Linked DNA regions of Neodiprion lecontei. Each later gene encodes a partner of the first gene's protein in a complex. Links are inferred from orthologs where the notes say so. Each region holds a gene or a part of one and is shown on either strand. Other genes may lie near its edges.

Region 1 (9,586 bases):
GTTCATTTTCTCTCTGTCGTCATGGTAGATCGGGCATTCAGTGTATTCAATTGCTCTGTTATGGGATAAAAAGTGTCGTAACTCACATTTAATTTTCAATTACGTATTTGCAATCATACACGATTCCAAAAATAAAGTTGATCTCAAATTATGACGATTGTTGAACTAATTTGAAAAATCCATAATCATGTCATGTCATGTCATCACTTAATACCACCCCTTTCAATTGATCCAAGGTAGGTAAGTCTTGGACAAATGTATCCACTCTGCAGTGAACGTATGCAATACCATCCTTTATGGGTAGTAAATATATGTCGTAAACGGAAAAGCTTAAAAAAAAGTTAGTGAAGTAGTTGGTATTATCGTGAATCTTGTGTTTCTCTTTATCTTCAACATCTTTATTTATATTAAATTATGCATATAAATGTATCGAAATTCCTTGTTTCAGTTTTGATTATGGCGAAAAGTTCTGGATTATAAAGTGCAAGTCATTTACTTGTACCTGTGGTGCTGAAGCCTGTCGATATTCGGAAACTACAATTCAATTCACGCTGGATAATTACAGAAGAAAAATTCAACAGGAGGAGCAGCTTGCTGCACAACTATCTTAATCAAAGACTTTTAGTTGGTGATTTTAGAAGATGTTGCGAGTTTTCTGTGAAATGTTTTCAAATGAAAAATGAATGACAAAGTTGAGCGTAAAAAATAATAGTAACAATGAAATGTCGATTAAAAAATTTTAAATCCCTGGAAGGCCTGATGTTATTCTGGCAGCATAGTTAACATAATTCAAAAGAGTTATACTGTCGACTGTTGTTTATCACGTGGACCATTATCATAATTTGATGTTGAAGCACCACTGCAACCTAATTATAGGTAATTAAGTTCATTTCGTTTAAGGTATTGGAATTTTGAAAGGGGTTGTAATTTCGTAACTGTTAAACTAATAGTAAAATTGCTGCAACCGCTTCAACTATAGATAAAATGCTTATTGATCATAGAAATCCTGGCGTCTTGAAACAGGGGAAAAAATGGAATATTTTGTCAGAGTTAATTCTGAAATTTGTAATATTCCTATGAAAAACTTGACATTGGTATAAAGTTTCTTATTCCAATTAAACTGGATACTCTAATGCACGTATTTATGAGGTATCTATATACGTTTTGCTTCAAGTAATAAATTCTTCCAAGGTTGAGATGAGTAATCAATGCATAAAACAATGAAATCGAATATATGAGTACAAAATTACTGTAAACGCTCGGATAAGATGTTTATGGAATTTTTAATTTGTTTCTTATAATTGCTATTTTAGGTATGATGATATTAATTTAAGAATTAGGTCATTATGTTTCTTCGATACCAAGCGTCGAGCTGCGGAATTTAGGCCTAATTTCGTCGACGAATATGAGGTGTAAATGTGATGTGAGGTGTAAACTCTATATGTGTATAGAGAGATCTATATATGTATATATATATATATACGTATATAGAGTATAAGTATATATACACACACATACATATACTGCCAGGATTTTTCTAGCTTGCGTTTTAGAAAATTGAAGGTCTGGAGTATATGAAACGAAATGTTTGTCATATTATGCAATTAAAAATTTACATCACTTGAAATGATTTACATGAGTTGTATACTATATCACAGCTGGTGCGGTTAACGTTTTTAAACGCGAAAACGGAACTGAAATATACTTTTGAAGTATATGATAAATATTCTCAATTGAATGTTTATTCATAAATCACGATACTTGTGCGGATAAATTGAAACAAATCATTATTATAATATGATAATCTGTGTAAAATAAATGTTTTTTTTTATTTGTACAAATAAAAAGGTTTTGATATTGTAAATCGTGACTGCAATTTCTAGCTTTGCATATTGTCGAAGTGCCGACTACGTAGATTTAATTATTTTGGTTTTCATCGTTACTGTGACGATTTTGGTACAATACATTTTTTCGGGCAATATCATTGGAGTTTCGTATCATTGTGTGCTCTAATATTTTGTTATTCAATCGTTGACCCCACTTGTTTTAATTCGATGAACCCTGACTTCTCCTCTGATGTGTTTAAAAGTTACGTACGTTGATTCAGGAACATGCAATTCGAATTATCGAAAATTATAATTAGACATATGGTAAAATTTACCACCTTGGTATCACTTCCTAATTAATAATTTTGACTTTCGTAGAGAGAACTGGCCCGCATAATACGGAACCGCAGAACCACACAGATTGGATGCACGGTCGGTTTACAGACGGCTGTCTGGCCCTGATACCATCCATTCGCAACGAGACACATTGTTATTGAGTATAGGTAACAATTGGTTCTTCAACCGTAATTAATTGGGTGAGCAAATAACAGAGTAATTTTCATTCGAAGATTATCGGTATCCCGGGGTATCGAACCTTTGTTAGCTAATGAATGGCTCCGCCGTGTAAATAATCCGCCCTAGTCACGTAAGAATTAGCTGGAGATTATTGTTGACGTCGTACAATTTATACGCTTGTAATTAAGACAATTTAACACCAAAACTAATGACGTTTCTTTCTACCGGTGCAACGATTAATTGTACTTACGAGGGCTAATTGGTTCAAGGCACATTTTTCATTAAACTGAATCAGCTCAATGTTGAATATATATTAAGCGTATCTTATATCTATAGTTATATATATTTTTTTGTATATCTGACACTTGTCGGACTGATGTCTTTTCTTTTTTTTTTTGCTAATTTTAGGAGATGAGCACGTTGTTCACCTGTGATTACCCATTTCAGAATTTAATTTGGCTTTCCAGTCCAGTATTGTGCAATGCTAATTGAAAAGTGTAAAAGATTTAGCTAATATAAAAAAAAAAACTCATGTCGACTAAAAATTCATACTGTTCGTCAAGGCTTTATTCTGAAATTTTTAATTACATTGACATTATATTACATTACATCATCCGTGGTTTTTATTTGCTATTTGTAAATAATCATCGAAAATATCGGCCATCCAGAGCTGACCTTCGACATAGCTGATGAGTAGAAAGGACCTCTACAAACGATGGGAGTGTTTATCACCCTGCGAAAAGTTCCGGGGGAATGCAGGTCACGTAGGTTCGAGAGGAGCCTCTTCACGCCTCACCGTACGGAACTGCAAATGATTGCCTCGTTTAGCTGGGAATCATGTCAAATAAAAACTTTCTGCGTCGACAGGCAATTGAAACGAAGGGGAGTTTGCCTCTTATACACTCATGCCGGTGCGCTTGTTGAAACGCTTCTACTGCATTATTATATCGTGAGTTTATCGAATAAATTAATGTTCATTGATGGATGCTTCGTAAGTGCGCGTGTTTATATCCATACACATTCGTTACTGTATACACGGTAATATGGCTCTCAGCTAATAAGCAATTTACCAAAAAGCAATTTTGGTGATACGCTCTAGTGGTTGATCGTTTATTGACATCAAGTACATAAAAAAACTTAACTTTCCCGTTGCATAAATTCATCATCACACACTCCGGTAAAACCGTAAAACCGTGCGTAACAGCACCAGGAAATATACTCCGTACATATTTGTAATAACTCCTCTATATTCTTCATACAAACGTTTGTTATAAGGCAAACAGTATAAGTGCCAGAATAAGTGATTTGACGTCGCACTGTTAGATTCTGGTGCTTTTCATTGCGCAGGGAAAAAAATTGTTTTGACACTTGACATTTTACGTAGAGTCAAGTCCCTCGTGGTTTATTTTTTCACCTTCAATACGCGTCATTAATTTGTGATGTTTCTTATTACTGCGGAATTATACGTCGCGTCGCGAACGTACAAGGGAGGAAGTCGACGGCCGACAAGACGCGCAGCTGCTACGTATTCCGCGATCGGTGTGTGTATTCATGCCCTAATTTCAACGTATGCGGTAGAAGCTTCATTCTCGTAAGAATGGAGCGAGGAAAACGAAGATGTAGAAGAAACGTCCTTTTCCTATACATCGACAAGGCCGTAGGCCGAACCTTTCGTGCCGATATCAACAGTAAACAAAAGAATGTGCGAGGTACACCACTGGCAGTCGACTCGGATCTCTCGCAGAGGCAAGAGTGCCGACGCGATTTTACGCGATTACACCTAATGTTTACCATCGTGTTTAATACGTGGCAATAATAATTGTGCTTCGAGTATTGTGAGATGTGCTTTTTAGTGAATTAGTCTTCTGCTCTGTGGTAAAGGGGATGTTTCCTCTTCGTCGATTCTAACGATAAGTGGATTATCTGAATGGTAAGCTTGAACATACCGGAAAAAGGATTTCTCGTCTCCAGATATTAGCATTTTAATAACGCGTGCATTTTGTCGACAAGGATAGTGCGGTGTCGACGCATTGAATTATTTGCGCGGAAACTCTCGGGGATATATCTATGGTATATAACTATATACGTACCTATACGCAATTTATTTGATTTGAATATGATGGCGAGCAATTGCATTGTCTGTTTTAAAACTCACGCGGTGGGTGAACGATAAATGAATAATGCATGTCATTACGATAAATTTTTAACGATTCGATTGTAATGTGATCCGGTGAATGTGGGCTGTAATTTTGAAAATCGCGTGATCTAATCACCTGCTGGTATTGATCCGAAATATTGAGGTAATGCAGGTGTATCTCCTTAGAAGGTATAACTTGTTATAGCTTGAGGCAATTATACGGAAATTACAAACGAAGCTTGATTTTATAATAAATGAAATACCGAAACACAAGGGGAAAAGAATACGATTTATTATTCTTTTAGAATTTTTTGCTTCTTGTTTATTCTTCCGAAATGAGTTTTAGGCTGGTGCGAGTATGTTTTATAACTTTCGATCCCTTACCTCCAAACTCCCCTCCCTCTCAACAAGATTGATTGTACGCGATAATAGGTTCCCACAGTTTCTGTATAAGTTTAAGATCACTTATATATTGAAAAAAATTAAATTCTTACATAACGATCGTGCGCAACAAATTAATATCACATGCTTTCTGTATACGATTTGCACTATAAATCGAACCGACCGGAGGAAACGTCGAAACAAAAAATACGGAGGTGGAAAAAAACAAGAAATCTAAGGGATTTGGAGATTGTCTTTGAGACGGCGTTTGGCGGTATGCGATTGGTTGTAACTCGCGATTGCGCAGGCGCTGGCTTGAATTTCATTGGTTACGAGCTTGCGGAGTTCGAAATTCAATTGAAAGCGCCAGTTAGTGTAGCGACCGTGCGGCGCTTGCAGGCGCTACGCGTAGCCTGCGTAGCTTTAGTTAACGGTGCGCGCGAGTGAATTTTTAGTGGATATCGAACAATCGTTTATGTGATAAATAATGAAATTATTCCAGAAAATCAGTGATAGTGGTAAGCGGGTGGTGATTAATGTTGAAATAGAGGAATAGAAAAGACGACCAGAAGAATAGAATGCCCAGCTGACGGATACCCGATCTTTTTAACACTCAAGTGGAACTGAAGATTGCAGAGACGGTGGAAGGTAAGTTTTACAACGCAACAATTCAGTCTTTCATTGTCCATACCGAATTCCTCTCGTTACACTCGCTTGTATTCAATGAGACCAATTTTTGCTACCCCGTCGCTCCGCTTCTCTGTTAATTTTTACTACGATTTACCCATCTATCCGTAGGGTATAAAGCATTTTCCCATCGCCTGCTGTACACGAAAAATTGTTCGTAATCAAACTTCCTCGGCACAATGCCGAGTTGACAGTTCAGTATTTGCAATATTTGCGATATTTTTAGCACGTATAGATAGAATACCTGTTGCGTACAAATTGGATCGGGTAGAGTATCTTGATCGGCAAGCGAAGTTTTTATCAGGTACAAAGTAATCTCAAAGGTTGGTGCTCGTCTGAGGACTTTCAACTACCGTTGAGAAGGAAATGTCATTCTGTGAGTCTGAATTACCGGAACGAGTATTAGTCCAGAGCAATCCACTCGACTCGACAATGTTCTCGACATCCTTTTGTTACTTTGTCGGAGGGGAAGCTGTTTGCCGATTGTGTAAGATCGTACCGATATATGCGCGGGGGTCCTTCAGGTGTGTTGGTTACAAGGAAAAATCTCGGCAATGAGGGTGGGATAAAAGAATAGCGAGGGGGGCAAAAGCGAGGGACCTACAATAGGCATTGGACGAGTATATAGCGAACGCGTCAGTTTTGCATTTGCAGAATTTCGGAATTCAAACGCCCCGAGTTTGACGAAGTATCGCAAATTCCCTATCGATCTGCGGGTGTGTTACTTGGATAATTTTCAAACAAAATAAGTAAATAGAGTGAAACAAGTAAGTAATTAAAATAAGGAACGCTGCAACAGGTACAAACAAATTTTGTCGCTTGTATTCCGAAATCGTATGGCAGGAAACAATAAACTCCCTCGATTACTTTCCGTTGAATGATATCTACCTGCGAAGTGTTCATGTAAAAGTTGAGTGGAATTCTCTCGAACCAATGTTCACTTAAAGGTGTAGAAAGATACTCACAATTTGTTTTCAAACGAATTCAGAAGTCTCAGTAAGGCCTTATTAAATAAAAAAGAATAAAAAAAAAATGAAGTTGTTAAATTACAAGGGGGAAAAAAGTTTGAAAGTCTACAGTAGAAAAAATGAGTGGTTTATTTCAATTTAACGATTGAACGTGTAATGCGTTCTAGTATGGTATAAGCGCTGTAGCATTTGAATTTTTCAATCGAAAAATAAGCTTAAAAAAAATTCAAAATAGCTATAACGGGACAATATACGGGGTAGAAATCCCAAGGGAGAACTAAGTTAAACATCTGAGAACGGATAAACATGGATAAAGATCAAAATACAAGACAGAAGAGATCTTAACATACGGAAATACCGAGTAACGCTAAACGTTTCAGATTCTACAGGTAGCATTGATCGGAGCAAGACAATATGCGATAGCAGCTTCCAGGTGATTTACTTGAAAAGTTACCCAAGTCACGTTGAAACTACGATGCACAATAACTCTCCGTTTATGGGCCCGGTAATAAGATAGTAGGTATATACACTTTTCAAATGGGTAAATTGACTTTCGGATGAGAATTGAGCTTGCAAGATATTATAACGAGGCAAAAATTAATGAGCAGAAAAATGACAGGGCGAAAGTAAAGGACTATTTATTAACGTGACGGGAGATTTCGATTTGCAAAAGCTCTACGCGCTCTAGCTGTCAGGTGCAAAAGTTGAGTTCGTAAAATTTGCAAAAAAATGAAAACGGTGATTAATAGATGTTCGGAAGAATGCCGGGGATAAAGAGGAATTGTTCGCGGATTCTCGCGCGGGTGACAAATTACGCGTACACCTAATACTCTCGGTTCACGGTCCGATTTCCGGTTCGTATTGTAGTCTTGTGAATTACCGACGGACCCAGTTGCGTCGGGTTCCCTCTTCATGGGCTCGGTCACTCCTGAAGTTGATTACCGAATCGCGGAGATAAGCATCAGCCGTCAACAATTTCGAGTGGAAGCACTAAAAGTAAATCAGCGAGAAATGACAAACAGCTAAAAGCGTTTCGGACCGGAAGGATCGAATAGGTTTTCGCAAATCAATACGGTTAATGGAAAATTGATTGTACACCACGCGCTGGACAAATCACCGATGCGTGGTTGAAATTAAAACGTAGAAGCGAATCACTTGTATAATAGTTGCTGGTATTTTTTTGGCTGGATGTGAAGGTTCTTGGAATCGCGAAAAAAAAAAAAATGTTAAAAAAAAGTCACAGCTTTTAACACACATGAGCAGGAATAAAATTTCATGAGCTTATGACGGGCAGTGAGAGTAATTGAATGGAGGTTTAGCTTAGTAAAGAGAATGGATAAATATGAAATAAAGAAGAAATAAAAATCGAAAATATAATATTAACATTATTATTATTACGTTTATAATACATTATATATATTATTAACAGAGCGCGCTAAAAGTGTGTGGAAAGAACTCTGGCTAATTTTTATTCCACCTGCAGAGATTTTTAATCTTAGAAAGTACGACAAACTGGAAATTTTTCAGTTGTCGACTTAAAATGTTCGCAATATATTTACAGATGATTATTTCTTATCGTATAATCCTTCTACTCACGAAAATGCCATGTTTGTGCGTCATAGTTATAAAAAGAATAAGAATTCTGAAAAATGCTTCGTGAGCAGGATTTGTGAAAGGTGGTATAAATTGAGCCCTGTATATAAAAATAGAAGGGATGAAATTCGCCGGTATAACTGAGATATATGTATACCGGCCGGGTGATGGGTATGGATGAGAATAAGACGCATTGAAGTTTACAACTGTGGAAAATGGTGTTGGGTCGCGTCTGACTTGTCGTGCGTCAAGAGATAAAAAATATTGGCTCAGAGTGAGGATTGTCAAACCGGTTACGAACTCGCGAAGCTAATCCTCAATTCGATGTTATTGATTTTTTCACCAATCATGTTTTATCCGAAGATAAATATACGCTGCAGGCGTTCCACATTTATTGCGTGCAAATAATCGAGTACCTGTAAAAAAATTGGTGTGAAAATTCTCGTGCTGTTGATTTAGTCCACAGTCGAAGCTTTTCAAATGAATACGAATCCGCGGCATTCATTCAGCTGCAAATCATATTGGATCGAAGAAATAAAATCGCGAAGAGAGCCATCCACAATTTGGAACAAATAAATTGCTAGAAATGTAAAAATACGTCGCAACTCAAATGAATAATTTATCCGACGTTCTGTAAAAAGTCTACATAAGTATGTATATCTTGAATAAACGAAACTCGCAATGTTGAGTAAAGAAATTATTATTAGTCGAACGCAATGAGTTTTCAAGTTTCTAACAAAATCTTCTTTTCTACTGTATCCAGCTCATTTCCGTAGAATCAAATAAATATACAGTCGGTAAAAAATTAAATGGACCCATAGTATATTTATTTTTTTATGTTCATCCATGCAGATGAAAAATGCCGTATAATGTTTGTTTGTTTTTTTTTTTTTGCGTCAAAAGCCACTGTCGAAACTTTGTAATGGAATATTGGAGGTGAGAAATAAATGAGAGAGTTCGATTAAAAAAGTCTTCGACCTCACGCCAGAGCTCGATTAACCGGACTTCCGGTACTTGTCTTTCTTCTCTGCGTGTCAGCGGTAAGCTCAATCAAACTATTTAATTAAACTTTTGGCGAACCTGCTGCGATTATGCTACTCGAGGCTCTCTGTGAAAAAATTTGCTCGCGACTTATGATTATCGTTCAGAGTCTGCCGTTTGCTCGAGGAATATGAAGCCTGTCTGGTAATTTTCTCCACATGAACGCCTGCGTGGGAATATTTAACGACCGCTTGTGTAATGGATACAAGTAATTCGAGTAAGACGTAAATATAATAGCTGTGCGGAAAGTCATACTTGGTGCGTGCCAGATTATACGCACAGCAGGCGGATACCCGTTAAACTTTTGATACCATCGGATATACATTCGTTTCCCTAATCGAGGCTCTGAATATTATGAACTTAGTTGCTACAAAACAATGGATACAGGTAACCTTGCATGTTTGAGATAGGCAAATTAAGGATTAATAAATCCGAAC
Region 2 (9,747 bases), about 3.0 Mb from region 1:
CAAACAATTCTCGCTTCATGAACGGCCTGATCAGCGAAAGGACCTTATCCATAAACCAGACAGCGTTCAAAACGTGAATTCCCTTCAGTCTAACCGGAAGTCCCTCTTGTATATACTCGAAGAATTTTCGAATACTGGACACCGAAAGTCTGGTCAAGTGGCCCAATCTGACTCCTTGCATGTCAAATAAAAATATGTATCCCGGTGAACAGCCATCCGAGTATAGACTAGCATCAACTGCCATTGCCAGGAGCTTTATTCCATCATTGAATATGTACTGGCTGGGTCGAGAGTCCGCCAGTCGATGAAAAATTATCCTGTTTCCCTGTGGATCTGGTACCGGAAGGCCGACAAATTGTCTGAAACGCAAGATTCTTCAGCTCGGAAAATTCCGTTGAATACTCCCACGAAACGTAATCTGCATATAGACGTGAAAAAGCTAAATTCAAGCTGTATGGAAAGTAACCACGCCCGCAAATGCACATTTATACATATGTAGGTAAAACCTGAATTACAAGACTGTTCGGTTACATGCCTCAATTGCATAACGGAATGTGTGTGTAACAGTTCAACCGCAGCCAAAGGAATGTCGTAACAATTTGCGAAAAACACAGCTTGTTCAATACGTTGGTCAATACACATACCTGAGCTTTAAAAGTGGAAACAGTTTTTCATCGAGCGTTCAATTTTATTAAACTTACATGTGAAGGTGAATGCACATCCAGACGATGCACGTGACGTTTAAAGGAGACGTTCGAAATTTCATTTAGATATCATTTACATATCATAGTTCAAATGGAAGGCAGATTAATGATACTCCTTGCTGGATTACGTATAGAAACATATCATTGCGTCAGGGTACAACGTTGTTTGTGTCTCATATCGATTAAGAAATTAAACGGAAAAGATGTTTGACGACTTTCACAGCCACGTAGCTACAGGAAGTTTCAGAGCACAGACATTTCCCATTAAAGGGTATCAAGACACCTATTATCGGTATTTTACTAGCTGAAGCTGAAGACTGATGTACGAATCCCGCGAGTAAGCAAAATATGAACGGCTCACCGTGTATGAATGGAATTGTTTATCGGAGTGCAGCGGTATATTATAAGAATCTGGAGTATAGTAGACGGGAGGAGAAATTGATTGGATCGCAGTATAGGTATACGGTATGTTTGTAACCTTAGAGTCCTGTTATTGGCAGCTGTGTAAATTGCACTGTAGAAGTATTAATTGCCGATTCACGAAAAAAGCTATTACGTCTGCAATTCTGGAATATTACCATGGAAAACTTTCACTTATTCATTACTCCTGACTGTTACTCTACGCGGGAAAAGATACTGTGGTAGATCATATAAAATTATCTATTTAAATGAATTAGAGCGTACTGTAAAATCTTAGGTAAATCATCTGCTATGCGGGATAACAGTTACGAATATAATTAATTTGTCAAACGTACAGTGCTCGCAATGAATGCTGCAGACATTCCATCTTGGGATCACGGTTGGCAAAAAACTCGGGAATTGTCGCCCTCATCCTGTAGTAAACACTCATGCAGCGAAGGGTGGCTTCCCTGTCGTAATAGCAGCTATGGGTGAACAGAGCCAATTGTTCGACAGGAACACCCGGGATGCCTCTGGCTTCCGTCCACTTTTGCAGATCATCCAAGACCTCATCGGTGAGTTCCGGGTACTTGGCACGAGAGTCTTGAATCGTATGTCCCAAATGCATCATGACGAAGCAGCTTGAACAACTGTTAGTTTATGTTGGCTGTTTGACCTGACGATGAGCATTCACCTCACGCTACAACACAAGTGATGGGAGAAAAATGATACCTACGGTGATTGGAGAAAATTTTTTTTTATCCTTAATGATATAAAATGACAGCCACCAACTAACGTCGTATTGTCATGTTATAATTTTAGACTCGCTTGCGTTTTGATCCTTATCTAGTATAATGGACTTCACAATTGCGGAAAGCAATGTACGCAAAACGCAGTACGATAAAACGGTTCGTGGTATCGCTCGAGCAGTTACGATCAGAGACTGACCACAGTACATGCATGCGGTTTCGACGTACGAGTATCGTAATCCAGCCTATATTCCCTGAGCAGGGTGGCAACTTCTTCTCTTCATTTAATTAAGCATTGTCTGCGCCTTTGATTTAATTCCATGCGTCACTTCTCATTCATTACTATGCGTAACTATTTCCATAATGTCCCGGTATTTATATGTCTCACGTGTTTTGCATGTGACCGTACAGCGTATATAACATACGAATTATTCCCAGTTGCTCAGTTTCGCGGACGTAGGTGAATTATTCCGAATTTAAAATGCAGTAGGCCGCGCAGTAATCGTAAACATCATTTATACGCTCGGAAACCGTATAAGTCTGTTTGAGCCGCAATAAAATTGTTCAAAACTAAATAAGTAGGATATTGTATAACAAGGAGGCAAACTCGGCGAACAAGTACACGAGGCCAGAAAAGACCGTTGCCTTCTTGTTGCAAGCGATTCTATATGTATAAACAAGAGTATGTTACACGTTTTTTCACAAAGCTCGAATTCGAAGTTCGGGTCGCGTGATGTCAGATTTGTTCGCGACAGCGCATGCGCGCAGTACTGAAAAGACCACTTTCAACTCCTAGGATTTAAATGTGGTCTTTTCAGTACTCCGCGCAGGCGCATTCATAGACTAACCCAGCCGTCTTAAAAACGGGTATTTTCTGTACGAAAAACACACGTGGAAAAACGCGTAAAACATGCTCGCGTTATATAAATATGTTTCTTTTTTTTTTACTTGGAGCACATGAAATTTGCACATTCCTTTGCCACATCATACGTCGTGCGTGAACGAGCTGTATATTTATATTTTCGAGTACAGCCTAGCAGCGATTCGCGATGTCACGCTTTGACACAAACCTCAAAACTTGTAATTAGACGATCTACTGGATTTCATCGACTACATGATCGTGGTCGTCAGTTCAACAGACGTAACGAAGTTTCAGTTCAACATACAGACAGAAGAATGAATGACCCGATTACGATTTACAATTAGTTCGTTTTCCATTCCGCTGTGTTTCCGTATTTTGATTTTTACCCCGTAATACTTACAATTACATATTCTTCGTTAGTTTGCCATATTTCCAAGATGTTAGTTCATGCCAACGATACGAACATCTTAATCCTTGAACCATATCTGTAGTTTCCAGTGTGGTAGCATGGTCCAGTTATCGCGGTTTATAGTGATACTTCGTACCTTTTTCGTATAACGCAGGTACTAGAACTAGCATTCACGTATGAACTTGTTGCGGTGTTCCTCTTCATACGCACTATTAACATATTTTGCTGTAATACCGCAGTGTCAAATTATATACTTCAGCCTATGGAGGTAAACATCAACGCATTAGCTATGCCATTAATTAATTTAATTGTCAAATTAACAGCAGCAGTTCTGCATCCATTGCGTCACGTGTACTCATATTCTGATTCAAGCCACACTGCAGATTTTCGAACAAGATATTGGGTATTCATTTTTCATCCATCTCGGAATGGAGCAAGGCCCTCAAACTTAATCTGAGCGGTACCAAACATCCCGAGATCGGATCGTCTATCGGCTGCCAATTTATCCGCCATGTATAATCGAGAACTATGTTTGGACTAGCATAAGAAACATTCCATCACAGAATTCACGGAGAACGTTTTCTCGAATCAGTATAATACGTATAGTTCGTTCGATCGGTGAAAAATCCATTTATACTTGTACGACCACAATGTAAAAAAGTTTTCCGTTTGGCACGAAAATCTATACACATGTAAAGAAACGTACCGGATAATCATGATCCGTGATCTACGATTAAGCCCCCCGATTGGTATCATAGTCGCGTGAATCACGCTTGGAGATCTACCTATACAGGGGTTTGTAAAACATAGAAACGGCAGGGCCTTCGGGTGTGAGCAATCGGGCAAACCGAATACGGAAATTGCGTGCAGCAAAGACCTTATAGTAATCCCCGCTGCTGGGTAGGGGCGCAGTGGAAAGGCCGACGGTGGACGACGTTTCCGTTCGGTACCACACCGAGACGAGCCCGACGACCAATCGCGTACCGACGACGTACGTTCATTGATAAGCGCGTACTCCGGACGGTCGGGTGCGGGGTGTTCCTCGAATAGAACGTGACGTCATGTAGGCGGCCGGTAGCGCCGACGCCGAGGGCATATGCGCGAGCGTCGCCGGCCGTGATTTCGGGGTTTCGGGCGTCGAGCGGGGTGGTTTCAAAAAGGATTTCGGGGCAGCGCGGATCACGGCCCTTGCTGCTCGCGGATCGTCAAGGTGACCTTGGGCCTGCGATAACCGTTATACGTGGAATTATCACTCGGGGGGGATATGCCAGAGGGTTGCAGATATCGGAGATTGTCGGCTATATTGATTGGTCTTTTGTGCGAAAGCAGCCACTACACCTCCTGTCTAGCTCTCTTTCTCTAGGAGCGGAGCGCGTCATCGATCCGCGAGTGACCCATATCCGTTGCCACTCCTCCCACCTCCCAGCTCCCACCTCCCGCCACCCCCAACCCACCCCGCTCGCCTTTTTTCCCCTTGTGCCTCTCGCAGCAGCCCTGCCTGCTGCCAACGAGCAGATCTTCGCGGGTTCGGGATGATAATCCAGTGAAACTCACTCCGCGACGAACTCCACCTGCAACAGCAGCCCTGGCCTGCCAAAATCCCTTCAATTCGGTCATCGTAAGTTTCAAACTTAAGTCTTTATTTCTTCATTATTATCATGACGGTATAAGGCACCGTATAAGGATCTTCGCTGATCCTCATTCGCCCTCTCATTATCATTTTTACATCCAGTGTCGTGTCGGCTTTGTTACGGGCCCCGATATTACCCTCGATGGCGGTCTTGTCATTCGAGAGAAAATGATGCTACGAACATTCGGCTATGGCTACATCGTCTATCGTGATGATGGTAATGGTTGTGCAGGAGCATTGTAGTGGTCGTGGTTGTAGCGGTTCAGTGGTTTGTGCGCGCCCGGTACGCGGTTGGTGATCAATAAGCAGTGTCGTATCAATTCTGGGTGCTGTTCGGCGTTATCTGATGATATCTGAACGGTTGTTGCCTTCAGCCATCTTCACCCGACACCCTGGTCCAAAGTGTATATCTCGTTACAATTTCTCTCTCGAAAGTTCAACTTGTCCGAATTTCTGTCCCACTTGATTGCGATATCTGCAGTTACGGAATTATCGGTCTCGCTTCTTCCGCATAAAACGCGTTATTTTACCAGTATATCGAGGTGATTTCATAATAAATACGGAAATATTTCAAGTTTTATGAGAGAAGCTTGATAAGTCCCGTCAACGTTAAGCGTTCCAAAGTATGAAGACTCGTTATTGTCAGTTTCAACTTACGCTCAGTGATCAGGTACAAAGTGTAGTTCATCACGGTATTTCGTAAATTTGTAAGACATGCATCCGTGTGCATGAATGTGGCTCTGTATATTATTAACGGTAACAATATATAGTGCTGTTATTGCGAAATTGTTGCAAAAGATTGAAATAAAAAACAACAGTAGCAGGTAAAGGTTCAATAATCATGATGCAATGCTACAGCTGGTAGACAATTATAAGAATCATCGATCGTTCTGCCGATTTCGTCTCGTTTCCATTATCGTTCCATAGTAAATTTTCATTGCGACCCCCGTTCCGGAATTCGGTAGTCATCTAGGCGCGGAGACGACGATAAAGGTGGTGCCGCTCGCTCGAGTTACGCCACTGTAGACGAGTGGGGGGTGGTTTTCTCCGTCGGTTTTCGTCGTCCTCCGACGCCCGCCGTCGCGGCGTTCCGTCAGTGACGGTGGCGGGTTCCAGCAAACGGTGGGCCGACCCTTGGTCACTCGAACTGTACGTTACACGTCCGAAAGATAGTCGGGATTTGGGTTGAACCCGATTTTTTTGTTCCTCGCTTTTTCTGCATACTTTTTATCGCCTGTACCTTCATCTTCCGTCATACCCGTGGCTGAAGAATGATGACGAATAATACGAGACGACCTCAGAACGAAGGGTCACTTTTTTCTTGATAAACACCTCGACCCCTTTTTTTCTCTACCCTTTCATCAGAGTAGCCACTGTCTTGACCGCAATGTACAGTATACTATTTCTCCAACGAGATAGAGATTCTAGTGTCGGAAATTACATCCTCTGAATTGATTGTCGGGTTTAAGCAGTGATCAGATAACTGGATATGTTACAGTGCTGCGGCGTTGGAGGTGGAGGGGCATCGACGGGGCCCCAGCCGCCACAACTGCAGGGGACCAACACAAGAACCACCATCATGCAAGACCCCGTCCTTGAAACTATCCTCGAGGTGAGTAACTCAGGATGAACTGATTCGACTCGACGGGTGGTCCCGAGGGCTTATATTGTATCTTTCAATTTTCGAATTTTTAATCCGAGTTCACTGATTGGTCAAGCAATGATTCCGATTGGCTGAAAGACCGGTCAAATTTGAAAGTACGCAGCAGAATAGACCTTTTATGGAATGTTACCCTTATACTTTAGTGTGTATCGAATTGCATGATAGAGAAACAAAAGTACGCCGCACCTTTAATTAATGCAATAAATTCAAGTAACTAATTTATCTGACTATGCAGAATTATTATTCATATGCTGGGTATAACGAACGGAATTTAGAAAAGTTTAAATCTACCGTACTTGCCCGGTATCAGCTTCTAATAACTTTACGTAAATATTATGCAAGAGTTGATAGTATAATATGTTATAATGCACTTTCACGACACTCCCGTAGGGTCGCGTTTCAAACCCGCTCACACCGCACACGGTATGTGTACCAACGTGTACGTATTGCCGGCCTGTTAAGCTGAGCGAAAAATACCGAGGAATGTTTGATATGCGTTCAGTTGCCTAACGTAATTTTAATAACCTTTATGAGGCTACACGCTACCGTATTGGATTTTCAACACAACTTAATACCATGTAGCTCCGCAGGCTCAAAGGGCCTTTTCTGGGCTGATTCCTTTCCAATTTCATGATGGCGTTGCGCGTTCTTACGGTGGCGGCGATTTTCTAGCGCATGTCTTACTTCACTGCTAAACCGTCGTTTCCGAATGTTGAGCTTTAGACAGCGTTGACGCTTCAATAATACGCAAATCTCCTTAATTCGATTTTCGCTTATCGTACATATACTCCTCCAGCTTTAGTTAGATATTCAGCTATCCTACTCGACTTCGAATTTGACAGCTTAGCACAGCCGGCCACAGCAATGAAATCCACAGGCATGTCTATGCAACTATTTTTTGAACTACAATACAAGACCCTCAAATAACTCTGCGAATAACCGTAATTCTACCATGAGGTTCGGATGAATATCCGAAATATAACCCAACACTCTCAGCAATTATATATCTCTATCTTAAAATGAAATAATCTAACGTAGCAATTCGTTCGTTTCATTCTGTAGCAAATGCGAGAGGCCGAGGCCCGCAGAGCAGAATTGGAGAGGCAACATGCGGAGACGCAGGCGCAGTTACGTGACAAGTTAGCTGGCCGGTATCCAGGACCAGAGTCTGTTGAAGCACTGCAATCGAAGATTAGGGAACTCGAAAAGAAAACAGAACTCCAGATGGTTAGACACGAAGAACTGTCCCTAGAGCTGACCAGCTTGAGACGGGCACGTAGCAGAGGACCGGTTGCTAGCAACGTGACTTCAACAGTCCCTATGTCCACGTGGCCCCCTGCTGGTTCTGAAATTGATCGAATTATTGCCAAAATTGAACAGGACAACAGGTGATAGTCATGGTGTAATACAAATCTATGTGCTTCATTAAGCATTTCATTCAGCTTCATAACGCTACATACTTACCAGATTTTGCTAATAGAATCACCCACATAAACCAGGGAAATATATTGTACCATGTAAAATTAGATATGACACCTTATTACTAAAAGTAATCAATGTGTCCAGTGGTTCTTGTAATGTAAATATAAACTGATGTGGCTCAAATGACGCATCGAAAATTCAATTGCAATACACTGGTCGACCAAAAATATCCAGTTTGTGTGATATAAATAGTCAGAATGCTAGTAACGTAATAAGTAGAGGGTGTTATTTGAAAATGCCTTAGAAACCTTGTACCACCTACATTCATTCCATCTAATTCTTTCTGTCTTTTAATTTCGATTACACACACTCAGCTTAAGTAAAACCAGTGCCAGTAGGATTCTGCACGAGTTGGATCATTCGAGGAGCAACGTGACAACTCAACAGCCTTCTGGTTCCCAAAGTATATTACGTTCAAGTTCAGAAAATCTTCCCAACTTGGGGCAACATCAGCACCCTCCACATCCGCATGCATTAAACCTTGGTCTACCGTCACAAACATCACACGTGAGTTGTCATTGATAAATAAGCTACGATTTTATTGCTCTATAGAATATATAGAATGACTCTTTCAACACTAGTTTCTAATACCTGCACAGCTTTCTTTGTATGGTAACATTATTGTACTAACTTATCTGAAAAAATATTTGACAATATAGTAAGTTACTCATGCTGATATCTGTAATTAATAGTACGCTGGCTCTCCGATGCCATTAACACCAATGATGCCTGGCTGTCCACCGTTAACACCAAATGGTCCACCGTACCACTACAGCGAGCCGATTCCACCTGCACCATCTCTTTCAACTAGCCAATCACAGCCTGCGTTTCAGCAGAAGCTACAACAATATCAGCAACAACAACAGCAACAGCAGCACGAACTATCAAGCTCGCACTCACAAGGCACCCTACCGTCTCAACAGAAACAACTACAAACACACACGCAGTTTTCCGGCAGTCAATATCAAGAAAGTTATCCACATACACAAACGTACCAACAACCAATACAGCAACAACAACATCCTGTTTCAACTTCGTACTTAACTTCTGCTACCGGAGGTCAGAATGTCATGCCTCATTATACGCAACCGAGTCAGACAAATCAAGGCTATCAACTCAACGGTACTCAACAGGTAGGTTTTTCCAGCAACAATAATACGAACATTGGTCAAGAATTTTTCCAAGCATGTTTCTTTGCTTTTTATTACACGCGAATACCTGGTGAATAAAAAATTGGAAAACATAGTCATTATAAAATATTGTAATATACTAGCAAGTTAAGATTCATGGTAAAGAAGACCCAGGCAAAATGTACATGATGAACAGTGAAAATATGTAGATTTCATAAAAATGACTTACATCCTCTAATTTTATCATGTCAATGGATTATTTTTTATCTCATTAGCAGACAACATACCCAACGCTGTCCATGACTTCTCATCCCAATGGAACTTACAACTCTGTAACAACCAGTTATGCATCGCAACTGACTCATCACAACTATTCTGGACCACATACAAGTATCCCCCAGACAACACTTTCTTCTCTTCCACCATATTCGACAACAACACCTGCCTATCACTCAACATTGGGTACCTTGACTAGCTCCTCACAAAATATGCTTCCTTTTTCAACTGGGCAGAGCACGTTTTCGACTGCTGGTTCTAACTACTCTACAGTTGGAACAAATGCATACGGCACGTCAGGAGTGAACACAGGTATAAATGATGTACCACTGATTAAAAAAATTCTCCTACCAATTTTTCACACAGCATACAACTTATTTGTATCATACAAGTTCATAACTTGTTTTTATTACAAATTAGGTCCTACTTCAAGTGGCTTATTA

What was found.
Region 2: the proteins of voltage-dependent calcium channel type A subunit alpha-1 (region 1) and uncharacterized protein LOC107224707 are in contact, whole or in part, in a crystal structure (PDB 4Z8A), measured with the Drosophila melanogaster proteins. The link is inferred for Neodiprion lecontei from reciprocal best matches to the Drosophila melanogaster genes cac and Rbp. Residues at the interface, in NP_001245639.1 of Drosophila melanogaster: Ile1688, Gly1689, Arg1690, Arg1691, Leu1692, Pro1693, Pro1694, Thr1695, Pro1696, Lys1698, Pro1699, Ser1700, Thr1701, Leu1702; in NP_732029.4 of Drosophila melanogaster: Ile1353, Leu1355, Tyr1356, Tyr1358, Leu1363, Pro1365, Asn1366, Val1367, Asp1368, Val1372, Glu1373, Thr1378, Gly1379, Asp1391, Gly1392, Phe1393, Leu1404, Pro1406, Ser1407, Asn1408, Phe1409.

What each region holds. Positions count from the first base shown.
Region 1 is NC_060262.1:32,355,774-32,365,359, forward strand, and holds the start of voltage-dependent calcium channel type A subunit alpha-1, read left to right. Parts: upstream 1-4,064; 5' UTR 4,065-4,272; intron 4,273-5,362; 5' UTR 5,363-5,508; intron 5,509-9,586. Other genes in the region: histone-lysine N-methyltransferase EHMT2, read left to right, coding at 449-611. UniProt on the Drosophila melanogaster protein: Voltage-sensitive calcium channels (VSCC) mediate the entry of calcium ions into excitable cells and are also involved in a variety of calcium-dependent processes, including muscle contraction, neurotransmitter release, gene expression, cell motility, cell division and cell death.
Region 2 is NC_060262.1:35,314,365-35,324,111, forward strand, and holds the start of uncharacterized protein LOC107224707, read left to right. Parts: upstream 1-5,092; 5' UTR 5,093-5,378; coding exon 5,379-5,423; intron 5,424-5,825; exon of another isoform or gene 5,826-5,902; intron 5,903-5,914; exon of another isoform or gene 5,915-6,142; intron 6,143-6,251; coding exon 6,252-6,365; intron 6,366-7,478; coding exon 7,479-7,804; intron 7,805-8,212; coding exon 8,213-8,405; intron 8,406-8,590; coding exon 8,591-9,031; intron 9,032-9,303; coding exon 9,304-9,616; intron 9,617-9,724; coding exon 9,725-9,747. Other genes in the region: alpha-tocopherol transfer protein, read right to left, coding at 1-359, 1,460-1,734.